3 linked regions of the Macaca mulatta genome follow. The protein of the gene in region 3 interacts with the protein of the main gene of each other region in a pairwise test. Links are inferred from orthologs where the notes say so. Each region holds a gene or a part of one and is shown on either strand. Other genes may lie near its edges.

Region 1 (7,339 bases), on a different chromosome or scaffold from region 3:
CTGTGTTGTCCATCCACTGCTCGGGACTTCTCCGTGGCCCCGCCATTTCTCCCAAGATGAAGTGCAAACTCCGCAGCAGGGCTCTCGGGGGCGCGACCTCACCCGTCCCAGACTCTCTTGGGACCCATCTGCTCACTTCTTCCTCCCAGGGTCTGCTCTAGCCAGGAGTCTGCTCTGTCACCTCTGAGGTTTTGCCCCTGCTTGTCCCTCTGTCCCATCCCCTGTCACCTGGCCCGTTTATCTGCCCTGTGATATGGCCGCACCTCCCCCCAGGCGGGATTCCCACCCTGACTGGTTGAGTGAGGTGCCGTCATCGTCTCCCATATGTAGGTCATCTTCCAGTATTTTGGCTGCTTGGTTGCTTACTGGTCCTCAAAACACCTCTAGCTCGCAGAGGGGTGCCCAGTTATGTGCTTGGGAACGGAATTGATGGGATTCAGGGTGTCAAGGGTGTGTGCTCAGTCAGTGAAGCGTCCGGGTTTGCACTCCGCAGTCCATGCCCATTAATGACACTAGGGAGGTTCCAGGTACCTGTGGCTGGAGAGGAGAGGAGACTAGACTTTCCCTGTCAAAGCTGTCGGACCTTGGGGATTCTTTTCCTCCTGTGTTTCCTCCCTAATTCTTTGCTGCTTACCACCTGCCCATTCCTTTAGTGAGTGGCAGGTCATGGTCCTGCTCTCATGGAGTTTCTGGTTTGGGGGTGGGGGGAGATCTGGCCGAATGTGTGAAAAATACAAGCTGTGGAAAGAGCGTATAAGGGGTCCTGTCCCAGCTTTGAGGACTCTGAGAGCGTTGTTGGCAGCAAGGTGCAAAGGGTGGTTGGGATGGGCAAGGCTATTTAGTGAGGTTGGGGAAGGGAGTTCCCGGCAGGGGAGCAGAGGCAGGAAGGAGCAATGTGGCTTGTCTTAGGAGAGCCAGGGGTGGCAGGGTGTGAGATGAGTGAGTCTGGAGAGGTTGGCCTGAGCCGGAATGCAGACCTGGCAGTCTGTGGGGAGGACTTTGATCTCTATCCAGAGAATAATGGGAGGCCCCCAGGACACCCCAAGAGGGAAGTGCCACCATTGCATTTGTGTCTTGAACAATTGTTTGGCTGTTGGGGGAGAATGTCCTGGAGCAGGTGATCAGCAAGGAGCGAGGCTGTTGCTGTAGCTCTGGTGAAAGGTGATGGAGGCGGGGACCGGGCGGTGGCTGATGGGAGACAGGCAGAGCCACTGGGCTGGTGATGGACTGGCTCAGATCCAGTGGGTGGAAGGAGGTGTCAAGGATAGCATCTTTGTTTCTGGCGTGGTTAATGGGGCCCTGGCCACCTCGGTGTGCCCCTTGGTCTCTGGGGTCTCCAGGGGCCTGCTACTGCCCACTGGGCTCTCAGGACCCAGCTGCATGATGCCACCTAAACTGCAGGGCCCTCCAAGCCCCCGGCACCAGCAGGGCAGCACCGATAGGGCCCGGACCTCTTTGAGAATATGTTGAAAAGCTGACATCAACCTCAATGCTGTGGATGTTGGGCCTGATCATTCTTTGGGGTGGGTCTGTCCTGGGCACTGCAGCGTGCTAAGCAGCCTCCACCCAGTCCCCAGTGGCGACACCCAAAACTGTCTCCAGACATTGACAGGTGTCCCCGGGGGGAAGATTTGCCTCCATCTGAGAAGCAGAACCAGTATGACAGTCCGCCTCCCCCCTGAGAAGTGCTTGCCTGTGAGATTTGCCTCCCGCCTGGGAGTCTGGGGGACGCTGTGATGCCATCCTTGCCCCACCCTGGCTTTCAGAGCTCTCTCCTCTCCTCCTTGTGTGCCCGTGAGGCCGGCTCACGGGCACGTGTGGGTCTCACACAGGTCTTGAGGGAGCAGGTGTGTTTCTGGGCCTGAGGCTGCTCCTTGGTGGTGAGGGTGTCCCCACGAGCCGTGTCTGTGGCGCCTGCAGCCGCCTGCGTGTCCATCTGTGTCCACATCTGCCTTTGAGCCTCATCTTCCTGGCCCCACGGTTTTCTCGTGCTGTGACCCAAAAGCCCAGCATTCCAGGGTGTTCTGCTGCTGAAATTGAGTTGTGAGCGTGTCTCCCTCCTCGCTCCCGTCTGAAGGAGAAGCGTGGTCGGTAGATAGACGCCTCAGACCTTTGTGTTTTCTTCACGTCTGTCTGTTGGCAGCTCCTTACACTATTGTGCTTGCTTTAGCAACTTAGCTGTTGTCGACTTAATGCGTTTCATGACGTTCTGCAGCAAGGAAGAAGGTCCGAGTTTCCACTCTGAATCAGGCGCCTTCGCTCCCCTCCCCCCTCACTTGACTTCCTGTGGGGTATGTGGTGTCTGCGCCTATAGATGAGGACACTGAGGCCTCAGGAGGGCAAGTGACTTGCCAAAGGTCACGGAACCCTAAATCAGCTCTGGAGAAGGACCCCCTGACCCCAGCCCGCCTCCCCTGCCCCTCAGCAGGCCTGGCCCCAGCACAGAGAAGAGCCATTGTCGCAGCTCTCAGGGCCCTGGGAGCCTGGGATGTATCCTGCCTTTGTTTCTAGAGCCTTTGTTATATTTCCTCTGTCTCCAGACATCGCAGGCCGGTGGGGCCTGGCCCCTGTGCGCGCTCACGTAGCGGGGCCTGTTCAGGTCCCTCCTCAGTCCCTTGAGTCCGAGCTCTGTCCTTGCCTCAGCGGCCCATCACCCGTAGGGTGGCAGAGATGGGCTGGGGAGGGAGTGGGCAGCAGTGCGGACCGAGTCCTGGTGCATGGGGTTTCCCTGGTGCTGGAGCCCACGTTTGGGGGGTGGGCGGGGCTGGGGTCATATCCCCTGCGTGCCCTGCATGCCCAGGCTGTGCTCACATGGCAAGAGGTGGTGATCGCCAGCTGAGGGAGGGTGGGGGGTCCTTCATCCCGTGGAGAGGGGGCTGAATTGGGGTTCCCTGAGCTGTAGGGTGCAGTGCCTGACAGGCCGCGGGGAGGGCTGAGGGGATGGGATGGACAGGCCCTGGGCCCATGCCGCCCCCTGGCACGGGTGGATGCCCCACCTACCGGGGGTGCCCAGCTGGACCATGGCACCCCCAAAGGACCCCACATGCCACTGTTCCCCCGCAGGGCTTCCCACGGCACGACATGGAGACCTGTGGTCGCAAGGCTCCCTGGGGCTCGGCTTGGACCGCGATGGGGCTGGGCCCTGGCCTCCTAACGGGGCTCCTGTCTGGGGCGGTAGCTGGGGGGGCGCCCTCCCCCCTGCCCGCAACTCGGAGCACCCCCACCCCTCCCCTGCTGGGCCAGGCCGGGTGGCGTTGTTGGCGGGGGCCCCGGTGGAGGCCCGGCCCGGGCGGCGCCCGCCATGAACGGGCTGTCGCTGAGTGAGCTCTGCTGCCTCTTCTGCTGCCCGCCCTGCCCCGGCCGCATCGCTGCCAAGCTCGCCTTCCTGCCGCCAGAGGCCACCTACTCCCTGGTGCCTGAACCCGAGTCAGGGCCTGGTGGGGCCGGGGCCGCCCCCTTGGGGACCCTGCGGGCCTCCTCGGGTGCACCCGGGCGCTGGAAGCTGCACCTGACGGAGCGTGCCGACTTCCAGTACAGCCAGCGCGAGCTGGACACCATCGAGGTCTTCCCCACGAAGAGCGCCCGCGGCAACCGTGTCTCCTGCATGTATGTTCGCTGCGTGCCTGGTGCCAGGTGAGCAGCTGTGGCCGCGCCCGGGCTGGGTCACCCTGTTCTTGGGGCTCCCGTTTCTGCCCCGGGTGCTTGGTGTGGTTGGTGGTGCCCCAGAGGGCCTGAGCCTGCTGTGAAGGGCCATCCAGCTGGCATGGGTGGTGTCCCCGGCCGGGCTGGCCTCATCCCTCCAGCGATTTCCTCTCGCAGACAAGGATACCAGGCTCAGGGAGGCCATCCCCAGCTGGCATAGTTGGGCAGGCCGGGCGACTCCAGCGACCCAGCCCCTGGTGGTTGCCTGCTGGGGTGGGGCACAGGGGCCGCCCTGACCTACATCCGCCTTCTTGCCAGGTGGGGTTCTGACCAGATCTGAGTCCAGAGGGCGAGCCTTTACCTTCTGGCTGGGCTGGGCAGGGTCCTGGGGGAACTGGAGGAAGCAGTCCATGGTAGGGCCAGCCTGGCCGCCTGCTCCTGGCACCACCTGGGGCAGCTCCCGTGCTGGGAAGCAGACAGGCCTTGCAGCACGGGCTCGGGGCTTGGGCAGGGTGGCGGGGCAGGAGGGGCTGCGTGAATGTGAGCAGGGATTGGGCGCATTTGCTTGTTGGGGGCAGGGGTGGGGTCCAGTTGTTCCCAACAGTGAGGGCACCATTCTGTGAGGGGAGGGCAGATAGCCCTGCCAGCAGCAGCACGGTCTTCCCTGGGAAGGTCCTGAAAGGTGGGCCTGTGTGCTCCATCCCCGGGGGTCCCGGCTCTTCCAGGAGGAAGGGCTGCAGGGCAGCGAGACCTGCAGCATCCGGGCACACACTGCGCGTCTGCCCAGAGAGAGGATGTGACCAATGGTCCCAGTGTCCCGCTTCACAGATGGGAGTCCTGAGGCTCCCTGGCTGGCCTCTCTGCAGCCCAGGCTGCCTGTACCCCTGCCGGCTCTCCTGTTCTCTCCCCATGGGGAACCCCTGGAGATGGAGCTGTGCTGTCGTAGCCTCCCCTGTCCATTCGCTGGCTTCGGGCCCCCTTGGGAGGGGAGTAAACAAGGCGCTGGGCATGGCTGGCCACCGGGGTGGGCTGTCAGTACGCGTCCTCCTGCCCTGCAGCTGGGCGCTGGGAATGAGGATGTGAATGGCCCTTCCCGGCCTGCCCCAGGTACACGGTCCTCTTCTCACACGGCAACGCCGTGGACCTGGGCCAGATGAGCAGCTTCTACATTGGCCTGGGCTCCCGCCTCCATTGCAACATCTTCTCCTATGACTACTCTGGCTACGGTGCCAGCTCGGGCAGGCCGTCCGAGAGGAACCTCTATGCTGACATTGACGCCGCTTGGCAGGCCCTGCGCACCAGGTGAGGGCAGCCCTGGAGGCAGCTCAGCCTGGGCACACGCGAGAGGGGACTGGGCCGGGGGGGCGGGCTTCCCTGGGAGGAAGGTGGGTGGCCCTGCAGCAGGGGAGCCACAGTGGACGCACAGGGCCAGAGAGCCAGACAGGCGAGCTCGGGTGTGTGGGTGCCGCCTCCATGTGGCCGAGGTGTGGCCAGGCGGTCCTCCCACACCCTGGCCTGTGGAGCCAGGCTTCCTGGGAGCCCCTGGCCTGAAGATGGGAAGGGGCTGAGCTTGTCACAGGGGCGTGGATGCCACCTGGCGGGAGGGGTTCGTGGTGTTTGGGGGTCTGCACATGTGGCTGGGAGCCCATCGGCTGAGGCAGCACTTGGGGCCAGGTGCGGCGAGGCTGCTGCATCCAGGTCCCGAGGCCTGGCCCATGAGGCCCTGTGGCTGTGGAGCTCGGCGGTCCCAGGGCAGGGTCAAGGTCTGGGCCAGCCTCGATTCCAGATCCAGCCCTCCTGGCTATCCAGGTCCCCAGCCCTGCGCTTGCCTGGGCTCTTCACCGGTGTTTGAACACTGCCCAGGCTGGTGCTGCTTTCGACGAGGAGACCCGGGTGGGCCTCTGGAGGCCTTTCCTGCTCACCACCCACTGGGGCTGTCTCGTCCTGGCCCTGCCCAGCCCACTGGTCTGACCCACTCCCGCAGGGACCAGGCGCAGCTCTGAGAAGTCAGAGGCCCTGGGGAGGTGGGGTCCTCATTGCCTTGGCGATATCCCAGGCAGTCCCTGCTGTGGGCCTGGGAGCTGGGTACCCTGGCACCACCCTGGCTCTGGGGGCCTCCCGGCAGTGTGGGGCACTGACACCGACCACCGCTTCATGCGGCTTCCTCGGCCTCTCCTGTCTACTGCCCGGGGCACTGGCAGAGTCACACCTGCCATGGCCAGCTCTGAGCTCTGTCTGCTCGGCCGTCTGTCCTGTGCTGCCTGCAGGAACTTAGGCCCAGAGCTGTGAGGGGGAGGCCAGAGTATGCCCAGGGCCTCCACTGGGGATGTGTTCTGTTGTTTGAGTGGTGACATCCAGGTGGCAGCTGGGGTCTCCTGCCTGGAGCAGGTGACGGCTGGGCTGACTCAGCACACTACTGGCCATGGCTGCTAGGGAGCAGGCCAGGGAGGCTGGGGCAGAGCTGGGGCCGCAGGCACAAGTCAGGCAGCACCCTTTGGGGCATGGGTGAGTGCTGAGCTGGAGTACTGCCAGGAGACTGGGGTTCCAGGCCAGGGACAGGGACAGGCTTGCTGGTGGAGTCCGAATGCCAGGCAGACGGGACGCACACCTGCCCATGCTCCTGCCTCGCAGGAGGGCAGCTGCCTGGAATCAGAGCCTGGAGCGTGTTGGGGGGAGAGTTGTGGGGTCCCGGCATGGGCAGGGTGGCAGGCGGGTCCCGCATGGTTGGGACTGGGGACGAGGAGGCCTTGGAACTGGTGCTGGATCAGCTGGGCCAGGGGCCGCACACCAGTGACCTGGGGGTGGGGGTGGCCCTGGGTGGGAGCTGGTGGTGCTGAGGTGGCCAAGGACTTGTCCACTCCCAAGGGAAGGTGCTGGTGGGTGGAGGTGCCACCCCCGCAGCCACCACCCTTGATGCTCACCTGGGTTGCACTGGCACCTCACTGGGTGTGGGGACTCTGAGAGTCCAAAATTGGGTGGAGACATCTGGGGACACAGCTGCCTGAATTCCTCATGGCCAAGGGGGTGGGCAAGGGCTGCAGGGAGGAAGAGTATCCCCTGTCCGGGCCAGTGCACTAGGAACGGCTTTCTAACCCGGGCAGGAAAGCGTGAAACATTCAGGATATGGGGGGCACACACTTCCCAGTGTGCGCCTAGGGGTGACCAGGAGGAGGAGAGGCGCCAGGGCCTCCCCTACCCCAGCCCCAGGGTCACTCCGTAGTCGGGATCCCTGCAGATCCTGGCGAGGAAACGCCAGTGAATGGCAGCGCCAGGGAATGGGGCGGGGCCGCTGGCTCCGCCCACCGCTGCGGTGATTGGGGGCTGGGGGAGGCCCTCGGGACTGGTGTGGAGCGTGGGCCTGACCCACTGACTTGGCTGAGCGGGGAGACTGGAGGGTCGCATCCGGAGCTGGGCCGGGGGACGCCCGCCGGCGGGAAGGGTGCGCGCGCGTCGGAGGCCGCGGCTGACCCTGCTCCGGCGCCGCCAGGTACGGCATCAGCCCGGACAGCATCATCCTGTACGGGCAGAGCATCGGCACGGTGCCCACCGTGGACCTGGCCTCGCGCTACGAGTGCGCCGCGGTGGTGCTGCACTCACCGCTCACCTCGGGCATGCGCGTCGCCTTCCCCGACACCAAGAAGACCTACTGCTTCGACGCCTTCCCCAAGTGAGCGGGCCGGGGCCGGGGCTGGGACGG
Region 2 (7,861 bases), on a different chromosome or scaffold from region 3:
GCGTGAGTTCCTTTGCCCAGTGCCCGCATCACACACGGGACCTGCCTCCAGCTCAGCCTGCTCCTGCGTCTCCCCCATCACCTCTGCTTGGCCGGCGCCTGGCCTCCATCACAGTCCAGCGCAACTGTCACCTCCTCCAAGGTGCTCCCTGAGCCCATCCCTCCCTGGAGCGGGGCCTCTTGCCTGCACCCCCACGGCCTCTGCAAGCCTCTGCCTGCTCAGTCTCGTTAGTCCCCAGAGGAGGGTCCAGTCTTCCCCTGCGTCTATCCTCTGGAACTCCACACAGCGTCTCGCTTGGAGAAAGCACTGGCCGGTTCCTTGTTGAATTAATGACCATCCAATGACACACAGCACAGTCCAACCCTGCACACCCATCAGCCAGAACTAGCTCTGCTCCCAGGCCCCGCACCTCTTCCTCTTTAATTAACTCCATACCTCTGCTAAGCACCTGCCACCCGCTGGTCTGAGCATGGAGCCGTAAACAAAGAGACCTTGCTGCTCTCACAGAGCAGAGTAAACACACACAACTCTACAGTGACACGTGTGGGGGTGCTGTGAGGAAAAGGAACAAACACACACAACTCTTCAGTGACACATGTGGGGGTGCCGTGAGGAAAAGGAAAGGGCAGGACAGAGCAAACGAGGGTTGCGGAGAAACCCACTGAAATAGAGCAGGCAGGACGGTGCTCTGCGGAGGCGACGGGCAAGCTGAGCCCCGCAACGATCTCAGGCGGTCCAGGGAATGGGAAAGAAACAAGGTGGGTGAGTCAGAGGATGGCACCAGATGAAGCTACTTAGGTTGGTGGGGGCAGACCCTGGTGCGCAAGAAGGAACACTGACTTTATGTTCTAGAACCCAACTTCGTTCTGATATGGCCTCCCACACCACCCGGCAGTTTGTGCGTGCGTGTATGCCTGTGTGTGTGCGCTCGTGCAGTGGGAGACCCTCTGGTCATCAGTTCCCATAGCGGCGTCGTCTGTGTTTTGCCTGAACTGCCCCTTGGAGCCACCTTGGCGCAGGGGAACATTTCACAAGGCTGCAGAGCCCTGGCCCACCACACGCACCCTGCAGCCTTGAGGGTGGTGAGTGACTTGGGACCACGTTGCTAGGTGTCTCTGTCTCTCTGTCTCTGCCTCGTCTCACTCTCCTCCAACCCCCTCAGCACCAGGAAATCGCCTCTCCTCATCTGGGGAAGCCTCTCGCCTGCTCCCCTGCTCGTCCTAGCCACCCTTCTTCCCATGGCCCTGATACCGTTCCCTCAAACCCTCCAAGTTCTCCTAGGGGCCTAGGCTTTTGGAAAGCAAGGACTTGCTGGCTTCTTCTGCTTTCTGTCCAGCTAAATAACTCCCCTGATGTGAGCAAATGTGAACCAGCTAAGCACCAGCTGCTTAGGAAGAGGGGGATCTCAGTGAATACATCAGTATCTCAGGATCGTATCTACCTCAAGAGGCTAGAGGGCAGGGTCTCGTAGTACATGTGGATTAAGCCCACTTGCTGTCTTGGTAACGAGAATGCTATGCACACATCCATGATGTACAGCCATGCTCCGTGCACACACCTCTCCCACAGCCGGCCTCGGCAGGGTGCTGGTGCAGCCTCCCTTGAGGCCTCTCCCTGCTGCCCTCACCCGCTCCCCTCCCCTCCTAGAGGTTGGCACCTCCTATTACGCCGTGGCTGTGGTCAAGAGGAGCTCCCAAGTGACCATCAACACCCTGAAAGGCGTGAAGTCCTGCCACACGGGCATCAATCGCACAGTGGGCTGGAACGTGCCCGTGGGCTACCTGGTGGAGAGCGGCCGCCTCTCGGTGATGGGCTGCGATGTACTCAAAGGTAAGGGCTTTGGGCTGGGCAGGAGGGTCCCCAGGCCTCCCGCTCCTTTCCTTGGGATGCTTTCCTTTCCATGCTTGTCCCTTCACTGGGCAGCCTCCCTCCAGCCTCACCGCCATTCTTCATCCCTGGAAGGCGTAGCAACCTCCTCCGCCTCCCCGCACCGTCCACTCTGCCGCCGGCCCTGCGCGCCGCCACGTGACTTCCTGCTTGCTTGGCCCCTGTGGGCACCATTCTTGCTCACCCCTCACGGTGCCCCACATGACGGTCAGGCCCAGGCCCAGCCCATGAGTGGGAGGCAGTGAATCCCCCAGGAGTGCTTCCCACGCTGTCTAGAAATGTGTCCTCAGCTTTACAGGACCAGAAATGCTGTTTTTTCAGGACCCAAACAAGGTGTTGACTTGCACCCAGAAAGCCCCCAAGTGGCTCATCAGCCCAACCAGCCGTGTAAACCCACGAGAGCCTGGAAGCCGCACCCTCCCAGCTGGTGGCCAGGCGTGGGTGGCTCGCCAGGAACTTGGCATATTTATTACACACCTATCCTCTGGGAGGTCACAAAAAGAAGACTAGGAAGAGGGCTTACTCTGGAAAAGCTCAGTCTGGCTGGTGATGAGTGTGGCCCGATGGGCTTGGGTGCCGGCAGCAGGGCCTTCTCGTGTGGCACAGGATAAATATTTGTGAGTTTTGGTGCCGGCCGGGCCTGAAGAACCATGCAGGGCAGCAGACCCTGACCTCGTCCCCCACGAGGCCAGCCGCCGGGCGTTTGCCTCCCTCCCTGTGCTGTGAGAAGTGTCTGTCTTTATTTCCCCTCTGTCGTCAGTCACACCTCGCTGAGTTGGAAATGAAAGCCACGATGAGAAGAGCATCTAGTTGATGCTTAGTTATCCCGTGTGGTCATTTAGGAGGAAACTTGTAGTTCCCCCGAAACCACTTTTAAATGACAGTCGCTCCCCAGTGCTCACTGCTCCCTTGGGGGACCCGGTTTGGGGTCACGGATCGGGTCCGGGGTCCGGCTCCCCAGTTTTGCTCAGACTGAAGCTGGAAGGTGGAACCGTTCTCAGCAGAGTCCAGATGAGACCCTGCAGGGCCCGGCCCCCCGCTGACCCTGGGGTTTTAACTTGGCTCTGAAGAAAGTTCTGAGTGACCTCTCTGCCTCCTTCCCACAGCTGTCAGCGACTATTTTGGGGGCAGCTGCGTCCCGGGGGCAGGAGAGACCCGTTACTCTGAGTCCCTCTGTCGCCTCTGCAGGGGTGACAGCTCTGGGGAAGGGGTGTGTGACAAGAGCCCCCTGGAGAGATACTACGACTACAGCGGGGCCTTCCGGTGAGCGGAGCGGGGGTGGGGAGGGCCGGGCGGGGAGGAGCTGAGTCGTGCGGGCGGGCGGAGGCGCTACGGCCACGGATGCTGGGGAAAAGCACCTTTGCCCAGAGAGGCCGTGGAGGGGAAGTGGCGGTGTTGGCTGCCTCTCATCAAAGCGCGCTTTATATAGTTCTGTGCCCTGGTTAGTTTAAAAACATCCAACCGGAATATGCCAAACTGGATTTGCTCATAAAATCAACATGTTTGGTATATTTAGTGAGGTGAGGGCTCGGAGAGAAGAAAATGGAAAAAACAGCCTTTTGACCACTCCCATGTCCCTGTTCTCAGACCAGCAGGGACAGGGGGTTGGGGGACTGTGGCTTGACACTTGGGGCCGGCCTGTCTCTGCTGCTGGTTGGGGCTGGCACCTTGGGTAATCCTTCCGTGGATACAAGAGAGTCTCTAACAGTTCGTGGTCCAATTCCGTCTGCCTGCAGAGGAGGAAACGTGCTGAGCAGGACTGGAAGGAAGCTTCTGGGGCTCCTCTAGCTGCCTCACGTTTCCACCTGGAGCGGGGAAGCCTGCTGGTGTCCCACGCTCCAGATGTGATCTGAGTGGATGCAGTTTTTGGCATAGAGAGAGGAAACAGTACTCAGCCCCTCTGAGCGGCAGAGCCTTGCCCCTCCCCTGCCCCGCGTCCTTGGCCACGCACGCATTCTCTCTGACTCTCCTGGAGCCTCAGAGCCCTCTCCTGATGTCGTCCTCCCCGACCTGCTCTAATCCCTGCGTGTTTTCTGCCTGTGGGGACCTAAGCAGCCTCTTTGCCCAGCAGGTCTCACCTGCCTCCAACACGAGGCAGTGACATCAACAGAACATGTACGAGTCAATGGTCCCTCACACTCAGGATCCTGCGGCATGGCATGAAAAGGCCTTCTAGTCCAATCCCCTGCCTCAGGGTAGAATGCTTTTCAAAACACCCTGAAAATTAGCCCAACATGGTGGCACACACCTGTCCTCCCAGCTACTTTGGAGGCAGAGGCAGGATGATCACTTGAGCCCAAGAGGTCAAAGCTGCCATGAGCTATGATTGTGCCAGTGCACCCCAGCCTGGGCGACACGGCGAGACCTTATCTCTAAAAACAAAATAACCAAAACCAACACCCTGAGAGTCAAGGCTGCTGGTATTATAACAGCAGCTGCCCTGGGAGTGCCTGCTCCCTACAGGCCTGAGCCAGGCTGGAGAGGGTCTGTACTGGGTTATAAAGAGCCTCTCATCCTCAGAGCAGCCCGATGGAGCTGCTTTCCCGCCCCCGCTTTACAGGTGATAGGGACTAGGAAGGGGCCACAACTCAGCAAAGCCGCAAAGCCACACAGACAACCAGCCAGGGAGCTGGAACCCAGACCACATGACTGGAAAGCCCATGCCGATCATGGCCACCCCTACAGCCCGAGCCAGGCCTCCAGAGGTGGAAGATGGGCAGGGGCCAGGGGCTCAGCCCATCCAGACCCACAGCTTCTCCACAGGTGCCTGGTGGAAGGGGCAGGGGACGTGGCCTTTGTGAAGCACAGCACGGTACTGGAGAACACGGATGGTGAGTGGGGGCAGGGCACGGGCCCAGAAAAGCAGCGTGCCAGGCCAGGCCGGCCTGGGGCAGGGCACCTAGATGGCAGAGTTGGGATCAAACACCCTAGTTCAGTGCTGCTCTGAGTCTCTGGGTGATCTTGGATAAGTCCCATAGTCTCTGAGCCTCAGCACTCCCAGCTGCAAAAGAGCAGAGGCAAGTGTCACCGGGGGAGTGCCCACTGCTCACAGGGCAGGAGAAGGGGGCCAGCGAGCAGCTCTGCTCTGCTCTGATCTGAATATGGCATTGGGTTCTGGTTCCACCTGAAGATGGGGGTCTGATTTTTTAAAGAATTTGCAAACCTCTCCACTGGATCTCACCTACCAGCCCTTCCTGGCATTTTTCTCCTCTTGCCTGGAGAATCTGTCCCTCATCCCTAGGTAGGTTTAAAATATAGGTTGGTGTTGAGGTGGGGCACGCTGGCTCATGTCTGTAATCCCAGCACTTTGGGAGGCCGAGGTGGGCAGATCACGAGGTCAGGAGATCAAGACCATCCTGGCCAACATGGCGAAATCCTGTCTCTACTAAAATACAAAAAACTAGCTGGGCATGGTGGTGGTTGCTTGTAATCCTAGCTACTCGGGAGGCTGAGGCAGGGGAATTGCTTGAACCCGGAAGGCGGAGCTTGCAGTGTGTTGAGATTGTGCCATTGCACTCCAGCCTGGTGACAGAGCGAGACTCTGTCTAAAAAAATAAAAAACAAAAAAAGATTGATGTTATATATTAAGCCATCATGTCACTTAAGTTTTTTAATCTTGAAAGAACTGAGCTTTGGAAAAGTTACAAGAATAACTCAAAGAGCTGCCTTCTCTTCTTCACCCAAATTCTAACTGTTTAGCATTTTTCCACATTTGATTTGTGTGTGTGTGTGTTCTGACCCATTTGAGAGTATATTTGCCTATGTCATACCCCTTAAATACTTTACTATGTATCTCCTAAGGCAAGGAGATGTGTACCTAGCCACAGTAATCAAAATCAGGAAATGCAACTTTGATCCAATCCTGTTATCCAATCTATAATCAATATTGCAGATTCACTCACCATCCCAATTCTATCCTTCATACCCATTTTTTTCAGACCAGGACTGAATCTTTTACCACGTTTGGGGTTTAGTTGTTAGATCTCTTTAGTTTCCTTTATCTTGGAACAGTTTCTCAGTCTTTGTTTTTTATGACATTGGCATTTTGAAGCATCAGGCCAGTTATTTTATAGAATGTCCCTCAATTTAGATTTGCCTGAAGATTGTTTCTTTTTTTAAATTGAGATAAAATTTACATGCAGCAAAATTTGTTCTTTTTGAAGTATAGTTCTATGAGTTTTGCCAAATCCATACAGTTGTATAACCACCACCAGAATCGAGATCTGGATGGGGCAGATGCTTCAGCCCAGGAGTTCCTCAGGCCCTGCTGGTTATCCCCCTGCACCTGCCAGCAAGGAGCAAACACACTGTTCTGTCTGCAGTTTGGCCTCTCCCAGGACATCTGATGATTGGGGTTTTTTTAAGTCATTATCATTCTTTACTGTTATCAATCGTTGCCTTTTAAATCAGAAAGTCCATCATGAAGGCAAACATGGACCAGATCCGAGAAGGAGGAAAACAAGTGGCCTGCACACGAGGAAGCGTGTAAGATGATGCACTCTCGTGCTGGGCAAGCCTGGAAAGGGGCTCCTGTTCACAGGCCCCAAGACGAGTTCGACAAAGGAGAATTTGGAAAATGGGCAAAGAGCAGGGATATGTTGGGTTAAAAATCAGCTTTTTCAGACTTGGGTTTTTTGGTTTTTTTGTTTTTTTTGTTTTTGAGATGGGGTCTCACCATGTTGCTCAGGCTGGTCTCAAACCCCCAGCCTCAATTGATCCTCGCATCCCAGCCTCCTGAGTAGCTGGGATTACAGGCATGCACCTGGCAGCTTTTTCAAAGTTTTGACGGTAATCTAAGGCAATCTAAGGCAGTAATTTTTTTAAGTGACTTGATATAAAAAGATTGGTAAGAGCAAAAGGGTACAAGTGGCATAAATGTCTAGAGCAGGGAAGTGACAGGACTTTCATTGTTCTTGGCTTTGAGAAGTGGAAGTGGCTGATGGAAGTACCTGAATGATGCATTTGTCTGTGGGAAGGCAAAGGATGCCCCAGAGCTCTAACCAAAGGCTTTGCAGCAGCCTAAAAACAGAGAAAAGTTGGGAAGTGGAGGGGGGAGAACTGCACTGAGTCATTAAGAGTGCTGTCAAGTACCATGTGGCCATTAAAAATGACCTTTATGGAGTTTTCCAAACTGTTACTCTGGTGTGGGTTTTTTGGTTTTGTTTTAAAATAGCTTTGCAATGAAAACTTTCGTGACCATACAAATTATCTTTTCTCTTCCTATTTCCTTGTAGAGGTTTTTTCCCTCCTTGTCTTAAAGTCATAAAAATATTGTTCTGTGGGACCATCTGTGGTTTAATTATAGTCCTTAATATTCATCTTCTCAGTATCCCTAGTTGGTGTTAATAGTTACTCTTGCAAATTTTCTTTTCTATTGAGAAACAAATGAATTTATGGAAAGTTTCCAATACTGTGGAAAAATACTTTGCCAAGTAGGATGCAAAATTGCCTGTCAACTATGTCCTTAGCCAGGTTAAAAGTGGTCAAAAGGGGGCTGGGCACGGTGGCTCACACCTGTAATCCCAGCACTTTGGGAGGCCGAGGCTGGCTGATCACGAGGTCAGGAGTTTGAGACCAGCCTGGCCAACATGGTGAAACCCCGTCTCTACTAAAAATGCAAAAATTAGCCGGGCGTGGTGGCGGCGCCTGTGGTCCCAGCTACTCGGGAGGCTGAGGCAGAAGAATCACTTGAACCCAGCAGGCAGAGCTTGCAGTGAGCCGAGATCACGCCACTCACTCCAGCCTGGGCGACAGAGCGAGACTCTGTCTCAAAAAAAAAAAAAGGTGGGGGGATCAAAAGACAGGGAGTAAAACAGGAAAAAGGACTTGAAAGAAACCCATCCCAACGTGAATAGCTGGAGTTGCGGAGTTCCCCTTCCCTCTCTAGCCCACGTGGGCAGATTCCGTCCGGGTTTGTTCCCACCTTGGTCCCTGCTCCTGGAGCCCTGACCCCTCCCCTGCTCAGAGCCAAACG
Region 3 (7,861 bases):
GATGTTATTTCTGTGTACGATAGAAAGTCGGGGTCTAATTATGCTTATTTTCCCTCTATTGTCTCAGAACCATTTTAGTCTAGTTTCTTTATGTCCTCACTCTATGTCATGTCTGTCCTATATGTGAGGTTCTGTTTTAAGACAATGCACCTCTGAACAAATATTGCATTACAAGGCTTTTATCTAAGTCTTGCTCTCTGGTACATCAGGTCTTCCTCTTCTGTTCTCTTTTTTTGTTTGTCCTGGCTATTTTGGTCCTTAGCATTTCCATTTGAAGTCTAGGATCCAGTTTATCTGTAGAATCTCTTGAATTTTAAATATAGACAATCATTTTGATTGCAAATGGATAGCTGTGTTGCTCCCTTCCTACTACTTACAAATGTTATTTATTATTGTCTTACATTATTGAATTAGCTAGGCTGTCCAGCATTATGCTGAATAGTAGATGTTATAGTGGGATTCTTGTTATTCCTGACATTAAAGAAAATGCTTTTATTGCTTCACCATTATGTATGTTTGCTGTAAGTTTTCAGTAGAGACTCTTTATACGGTTAAGGAAGTATTCTATTACTAGTTTGCTAACAGGTATTTTATTTTGTTGTTTTTTTCATTTTGCTGAGTTTTGATCACAAATGAGTGATAATGTTACAAATGCTTTTTAAAAGCATTTAGTATCTATTGAGATGATAGTGTGTTTTATGATAATTCTCTTTCTTTTTTTTTGAGAGAGAGAGTCTCACTCTGTCACCCAGGCTGGAGTAAAGTGGCACGATCTTGGCTCACTGCAACCTCTGCCTCCCAGGTTCAAGCAATTCTTGTGCCTGAGCCACCTGCGTAGCTGGAATTACAGGCTCATGCCACCACACCCAGCTAATTTGTATACATTTTTTGTAGAGACAGGGTTTCACCATGTTGGCCAGGCTGGTCTCAACCTCCTGACCTCAAGTGATCTGCCTGTCTCGGCCTCCCAAAGTGCTGGGATTACAGACGTGAGCCACTGCACCCGGCCTGGTTTTTCTCTTTTAATGTAGTTTATTATACAGATGGATGTTCTGATATAACATCTTGTATTCCTGAGACAAACAGAAAATATAATCATGCAAATAACTACAGAAATGTCATATAAAAAGTACAGCTTCATTAATGAGTTACAACTGTTGAAAGAATATTTTAAAAGGCAAGATAAGCATTTGTTAGCTGCTATTGGGCCTCTGCCAAATCTTAGACTTCAAGATATTTTTGCAGAGAAATATAGATAACTGCCAACCTATGCTGAGAATTTTTAAATGTCTTCTTTACTTGAGTCATATACAATATAAAACAGCATGATTTTGAAAATTAACAACAATAAAAAACAATCACTTTGTTTTCATGCAGAATTCATCAGGTGGACACTGATATCTATGTGGTAGTTGATTGAATGAGAAAAGGTTGTATGTTTAACGTTTAATGCTGTTAACTTTTTTTTCTTTTTTTGAGACGGAGTCTTGCCCTGTCCCCTAGGCTGGAGTGCAATGGCACGATCTCGGCTCACTACAACCTCTGCCTCCCGGATTTCAGTGATTCTCCTGCCTCAGCCTCCTGAGTAGCTGGGATTACAGGTGCCTGCCACCAACCCCAGCTCATTTCTGTATTTTTAGTAGAGATGGGGTTTTACCATTTTGGTCAAGCTAGTCTCAAACTCCTGACCTTGTGATCTGCCCACCTTGGCCTCCCAAAGTGCTGGGATTACAGGCGTGAGCCATGGCACCCTGTGTAATGCTGATAACTTTTAATGTTGTAGGAGAAAATATAATTTCTTCATGCTGTGGAAACATTGACTATGCCAACAAAACCAATAAAAAAATTTATATAGAATGCTTTTCAAATAGAAGCTGCAGGCTGGGCACAGTGGCTCATGCCTGTAATCCCAGCACTTTGGGAGGCCAAGGGGGGTGCATCACCTGAGGTTGGGAGACGAACCTGAGACCAGTCTGGCCAACATAAGTGAAACCCCGTCTGTACTAGAAATAGAAAAATTAGCCAGGCGTGATGGTGTATGCCTGTAATCCCAGCTACTCAGGAGGCTGAGGCTGGAGAATTGCTTGAATCCAGGAGGCAGAGGTTTCAGTGAGCCAAGATTGAGCCAAGATTGAGCCACTGCACTCCAGGCTGGGGGACTGAGTGAGACTGTGCCGCAACAAAACCAAACAAAATGAAACAAAACACTAAATAGAAACTGCAACTAATAACCACACTTTTTCCACTCTGTAGGCCTTTAAAAATTGTTTTGATGTTTAAAACAAATAGGTCCAGGAATTATAACAATTATGCTTTTCCTGGATAAGAATAATCTCTTAATTATTACATTTTTTATTAACTATTTTGGTGCTCTTAGACCTTTTCCATTATTTATTTCTAAGCTCAACATTTCTAAGTAACCTGGAAAACAGTTCCATTGTTCTGATGGGCATTTCATTCAGTATCCCAAATTCGAACTCCTTTATATGTATATTTTTCCCCCAAAGAAATTTGTGGCTATAGATCATGGAATTCTTATTAGTTTACTCAATTCTTGTCTCTTTCAAGGACTTCCCCACATATCTATACATGTGGTGAGTGATACACCTCAGTTGGGTGTAGACTAGACTGGCTGATGCAAACTGGGCAGGAATGATTGGCAGTAGTACCTCTCTCATTTTAGCAAGGAGCACTAGCTTCACTCCACAACATCTGACACAAAAACCAGGGCCAGAAAAAATGGTTTTGCTAGGAATTACCATCACCGTCGCTTCCTGAACCTGGCAGCTTCTAGATATGCAATGAAACAGTTATTTCCAGGTCATCCTCTTCCCACTAGACTCCAGGAATATATAAACTTAAAGTCAGGACTTGGCAACCTGGATTTTTATGATTTGCGTTTAACCTTTTATATGATGTGATTTATTTTTATTTTTGGAGATGGAGTCTCACTCTGCTGCCCAGCCTGGAGGGCAGTAGCGTGACCTTGGCTCACTGCAACCTCTGTCTCTGGGGTTCAAGCGATTCTCCTGCCCCAGCCTCCTGAGTAGCTGGGCTTACAGGCACGCAACACCACACCTGGCCAATTTTTGTACTTTTAGTAAAGACGGGGTTTCACCATGTTGGCCAGGTTTGTCTCGAACTCCTGGCTTCGGGTGATCCTCCTGCCTCAGCCTCCCAAAGTGCTGGGATTACAGACATGAGCTGCTGTGCCTGGTCTGTGATGTGATTTTTGATGAAACCTTGTTTTGAGACTTGAGCCCAACTTTCCTTTTTATCTAATTAGTAGTCCATTAATGTTCTTTAAAAACTTTCTTAGTAGGGAATAAACTATTTAAACGCACCACTTTAAATAAATAATCATCTTTAAATGCTTTCATTCATTTAGTTACCATAATTATTATCTTTAGTGTGCTGTATTCATAGTGTTTATTCTTGAATACAGAATGAGATCAAAGTCATTACTAATGCTAATGATTAAGTTTGCCATTGTGCTATGTACCTTATATGCATTACCTCATTAATTTACAAATCCATGTTAATATCACCGTTTATCAAAAATGGTCTTTGAAATTCAGGGAGATTTTAACTGGCCAAAGGCCAAATTCAAAGAATTGAATTTCAAATGAAAACATTTCTCTCTCAGTTGTTTGATCTTACAAAATTAAAATATATTCCACTACAAGTGCTTAAAGTCACTAACCATTTATAAACAATGAAAATGAAGATACAAATCACTGAAAACCCATAAGATTATAATGACTGAATTAGCTGGTATTAGCAAACATTTTGAAATGTAAGAATAGTTGGCTTTCTTCCTCTACAGAGGGAATGAAGGAAGATTGTCAGCAGAGGTCTTGAGATGGGGTGTGTTTTGTGGTGCAAGTAACCCAGTAAAACCCAGTAGCATGGATGCAGTCAGAGGGAACCAGAGAGCAGTGTTTCCCTAGGCCTTGGATGCCTAGAGGGAAAGCCACAGGTGAGGAAAGAGAGGCAAAGACAGGTTGGCATGGCACTCACATTCCTCTTGCGTGTGCCCAGCCCTTGGCTGTCCTTTCCCAGATGTCCTCATAAACTCTGAGCTGTGTCACAAGAGCAAACAAAACAGGCAAAATATCAAATATTACGCATTACCAGTGACTAAAAGCAGGGCAGAATCATCTTAAAGTGGGAAGTTTTTTTTGCTCCATGCTCTGAAGGTTGGTGTGTAGCTACCCACTTAATCTGAATATTTTTATAAATAAAGTTTGAATTTGGTTATTTCACTGTAATGTTCTAACTAGTGCCGAGAGAGAGAGAGATTCATGATCTGATTTCAACCGAGTTTCCCCATATGTAATTAGATAGTGATTTATAATTTTGGTTTTGAAATATCCTCTAATGTCTCCAGTTATCTCAAGAGATGCTATAAAGTTTTCCAAAAAATTCTGAAGAAAAGTATTGAGACATCTCTAGAGGGCTCTAAAAATAATCCCTCCCTTTTTCTTTTTCCAGAATTGCACCATGCCAAACTACAAACTCACTTATTTTAATATGAGGGGGAGAGCAGAAATTATTCGTTACATATTTGCTTATTTGGACATACAGTATGAAGACCACAGAATAGAACAAGCTGACTGGCCTGAAATCAAATCAAGTAAGTAGCACAAATAATAAATGTAGGAAAAATATGCTTTCAGAACCTTTTGTTTTTCCTCAGGGAAATGAAAAAAAAAAAATCAAGGTTTTCGAAGCTCATGTAGCTTTAAATTGAGAAGCAGCAGTTCAGACAAACTAATTAAATGCTGTGTGATCGAGCAAATTTCCTATTAGAGGTGAAAACACAAACCTTACAGAAAGAGAATATAAAGGTAAACCAGTATAAAGCTTTATCAGATGAGAAGACGAGCTGAAATAAACATGAGACTTTTTTTTTTTTCTATTTTGTCACTGAGATAGATGAAGTGCAAAGAGTTTAGATTATTTTTCCAGTTTCACGACCCTAGCAAGTAGAACTGAGTTTCAAACCCAGGTCAGTTTAATACCAAGCTCAAGCTATTTGCACTAGACAATGCCAAAACAACACGACTAGGATGACAGGCCTATTAACCATGAACTGCCACAGCCTTTGGAAGTACGAGCTCCTTAAAAGTCATTGCCCTTATAACCATTCTTTTTCTTAGCAGAGGCCTCTTCTCTGGTGAGATAGCGTATCTTATTTCTTATTATCACGATACTTTACCATTAATATCCACATGTTTCTTCTGATATCAGAATTTGCACGTGGGATTTTAAGATGGTGAATATATAATAGGTGAACATTACTTTTATCCACGAATTAATTAGACCAAGATGGATAGAAAGGTGCAGATATTACATGTAACAAATTTTGCCTGTTAGCTTTGAGATGTAAGTTCACTGAGTGCCTCATTCCCTATTCTACTTGAACTTTTCATTGTTACTGAAAATGGAATTTCTCTATTTTCTTAATATTTCCATAGATTTTCAGCGTGGAAAGGAATCTTAAAGTTCATGATGCTTAGAATGTAGTTTCAGATGTTTTAATAGACAAAGACACAATGTCAAATTGTCTTAAAAAGGATAGAAATTTCATTTACACAAAACCCCAAGTGGGTATCATGATTTTGCTCCATATAGTCGTCAAAGATTAGGTTTCCTGTTGATCTGCCACCCCTTGGTGTCTTATTTACACAGTGTGAGATAGCTCATGCTCCTTCCACATTGTAGCTCAGAGAAAGTATGAAGGAGGGAGGGGACACCTCCCTTTAAACAGCATGACTAGAAAGTTGCATATGTCACTTGGTAAGCCCAATGGTCACATATCACTTCAAGGAAAATTGAGAGATGCTGATTTAATTGTGGATAATCATTTACATAGCTAAAAATCCAGAGTTTTATTACTCTAAGAAGAAAGGAAAGAACAGGTACTACTAAGGAGCAGTTTCTATTACAAATGTTATTTGGTCTCATCTGCTGTCCAATTTAGCAGTGCTCTCTGGTGCTTGAAACCTGCTATGACACTCTCTCTGCTAGAACCTAGAAAATCTCCAGTCAACACATTCCATCATTGGATACTTGTATTAAAATGTTCTCCTGGACAAACTTGGTAAATTGCACACACAAGTTTACATTTTCTCTCTTTAAAACGCTTTTTCTCTCCTTTAATAACATTGAAGTACTTCTAAAAAGGGCCGAAGTCCATAAGGACAAAGAAATAAAGCTTGAATGTAGATATGATAGCACACAATTCTGGAAGCTAAAAAGCAGGCCAAAGAATGGTAAGGTGACTTAGTAGGCCCAAAGTTCAAACGTAAACCTTGAGGAGGAGAAGGCAAGCTAAATCACAGAGATACAGAAAAAGGCTCATGAATTTGTAGTAGCAGATAACTCTAAAAGTTGCGCTGACAGAGGACTGAGTGGAAAAATGTTGATGGAGAGTTTTTCTTGACCTCTTTGTCGGACTTGTGCTGGGGTGCCCCATTTACTTCACCCACTGCACTCAATCCCTTGTGGGAGGGAGCATGTGAGCGAGCGAGCATGGGATCCAGCTGAGCACTTTGGGCACTGGCAGGAGCAAGCTCTGCACGGGCCGTGCAGTGGCACCCAGGTTGGGGTGCCTGCGACCCCTGAAGCTCCAGAATGCATGTTACAATGCTCTCTTAGCCCTGCCATCCATGGACAGCAGAGTGGTATCAGCTCAGTGGGCCTCTTGCCTCGTCACATGGGGTAGCTGCCTTCCACCAGCAAGGGCAAAGGGCCAGTGTGACAGCCTTTTTTGGGTCCCTGTACTTGGTGGGTCCTGAGCTGTTGTCCAGCGTCCAAGAAGAACAATGTCGTCCAGACACTTGAAGGATGGTGAAGGCGGAAAATTTTATTAAGTGAAGGAAATGGCTCTCAGCAGAGAGGGGAGCTGGAGAGAGGACAGAGTAGGCAGGTAGTCTTCCCCTGAAGTCAAGTCCTTTCTCCTCCGAAGTCCAGCCATCTCTCTGAAGTCAAGTCAACTCTCTCCAGCTGAGCCCCTTCTCTTTCCTCTACCAACTGAGTCTGGGGTATTTATAGGCAGAGGATTGTGGGACGGGGTGGGCTATAGGTAGTTTTGGAAAAGGCAACATTCAATTGGTAAAAAAGCATTATTCAGAAAGAACCCATCAGGAGACAGCAGGCAAACAGGAATAGATTTTCTCATGCTGGGTCATAGGTTTCAGGCTTTTTGGCTTGAAGGTGGGGTTTCCCTGGGGACCTGCTGTTGTCTACCTAGAATTTCTCTGCCTCCTGCCTCTATCAATGTGAAGAAGCACTGTGACCACCATATCCCTTCTCCTCCCTAGAATAAGCATGGAGGTTACTCTCAGGGGAGGATAGACCAGAGGCTTCTGGGATAACAGACATGTCTGAGGACACAATTTTATAATAAAGGTGGGATTCAATGGAAGTCTAGAAACTAAATGGTGAGATCCATAGCACCTTTCTTCTGCTCTACAATCCAGGCTAATATTCCTCAAGCAGAAATTGGAGAAATTCTCTCTGGGGAAGCTGATCAGCCCAAGCTAATGAACGAATGAGAGTTTCTTAATGAAACAGCCCAGCCCAATCTGTTGGCAAGCCCCTCCCATGCACGATGAGCTTACAGGTAGTTTTTATTTCTTTGCTTTTTAAAACATAAATGGCAATCAAAAATCAATAGATATTTGAGAAAAATCTAACAGAACACATACCTAAACAAAGAAGCAGAAAAAAAGCAACTCTGAGGAAACCAAGATGATTTAGCAAGAAAGAAAACCACTTCAAACATTTTTTAAAATCCTGAGAAATAAGAGAAGATATTCTATACAAGAACACTGTAATAGCAAACTAAATATGG

What was found.
Region 1: the proteins of HPGDS (region 3) and ABHD17A interact in binary tests that used the Homo sapiens proteins (3 or more experiments, as listed by UniProt). The two-hybrid records come from large-scale screens. The link is inferred for Macaca mulatta from reciprocal best matches to the Homo sapiens genes HPGDS and ABHD17A.
Region 2: the proteins of HPGDS (region 3) and MELTF interact in binary tests that used the Homo sapiens proteins (3 or more experiments, as listed by UniProt). The two-hybrid records come from large-scale screens. The link is inferred for Macaca mulatta from reciprocal best matches to the Homo sapiens genes HPGDS and MELTF.

What each region holds. Positions count from the first base shown.
Region 1 is NC_133424.1:2,593,842-2,601,180, reverse strand, and holds part of ABHD17A (alpha/beta hydrolase domain-containing protein 17A), read left to right. Parts: intron 1-3,063; 5' UTR 3,064-3,301; coding exon 3,302-3,633; intron 3,634-4,749; coding exon 4,750-4,944; intron 4,945-7,129; coding exon 7,130-7,309; intron 7,310-7,339. UniProt on the Homo sapiens protein: Hydrolyzes fatty acids from S-acylated cysteine residues in proteins. Has depalmitoylating activity towards NRAS. Has depalmitoylating activity towards DLG4/PSD95. May have depalmitoylating activity towards MAP6.
Region 2 is NC_133407.1:2,574,392-2,582,252, reverse strand, and holds part of MELTF (melanotransferrin), read left to right. Parts: intron 1-1,647; coding exon 1,648-1,830; intron 1,831-2,993; coding exon 2,994-3,150; intron 3,151-4,650; coding exon 4,651-4,718; intron 4,719-7,861. UniProt on the Homo sapiens protein: Involved in iron cellular uptake. Seems to be internalized and then recycled back to the cell membrane. Binds a single atom of iron per subunit. Could also bind zinc.
Region 3 is NC_133410.1:103,670,739-103,678,599, reverse strand, and holds part of HPGDS (hematopoietic prostaglandin D synthase), read left to right. Parts: intron 1-4,494; 5' UTR 4,495-4,503; coding exon 4,504-4,636; intron 4,637-7,861. UniProt on the Homo sapiens protein: Bifunctional enzyme which catalyzes both the conversion of PGH2 to PGD2, a prostaglandin involved in smooth muscle contraction/relaxation and a potent inhibitor of platelet aggregation, and the conjugation of glutathione with a wide range of aryl halides and organic isothiocyanates.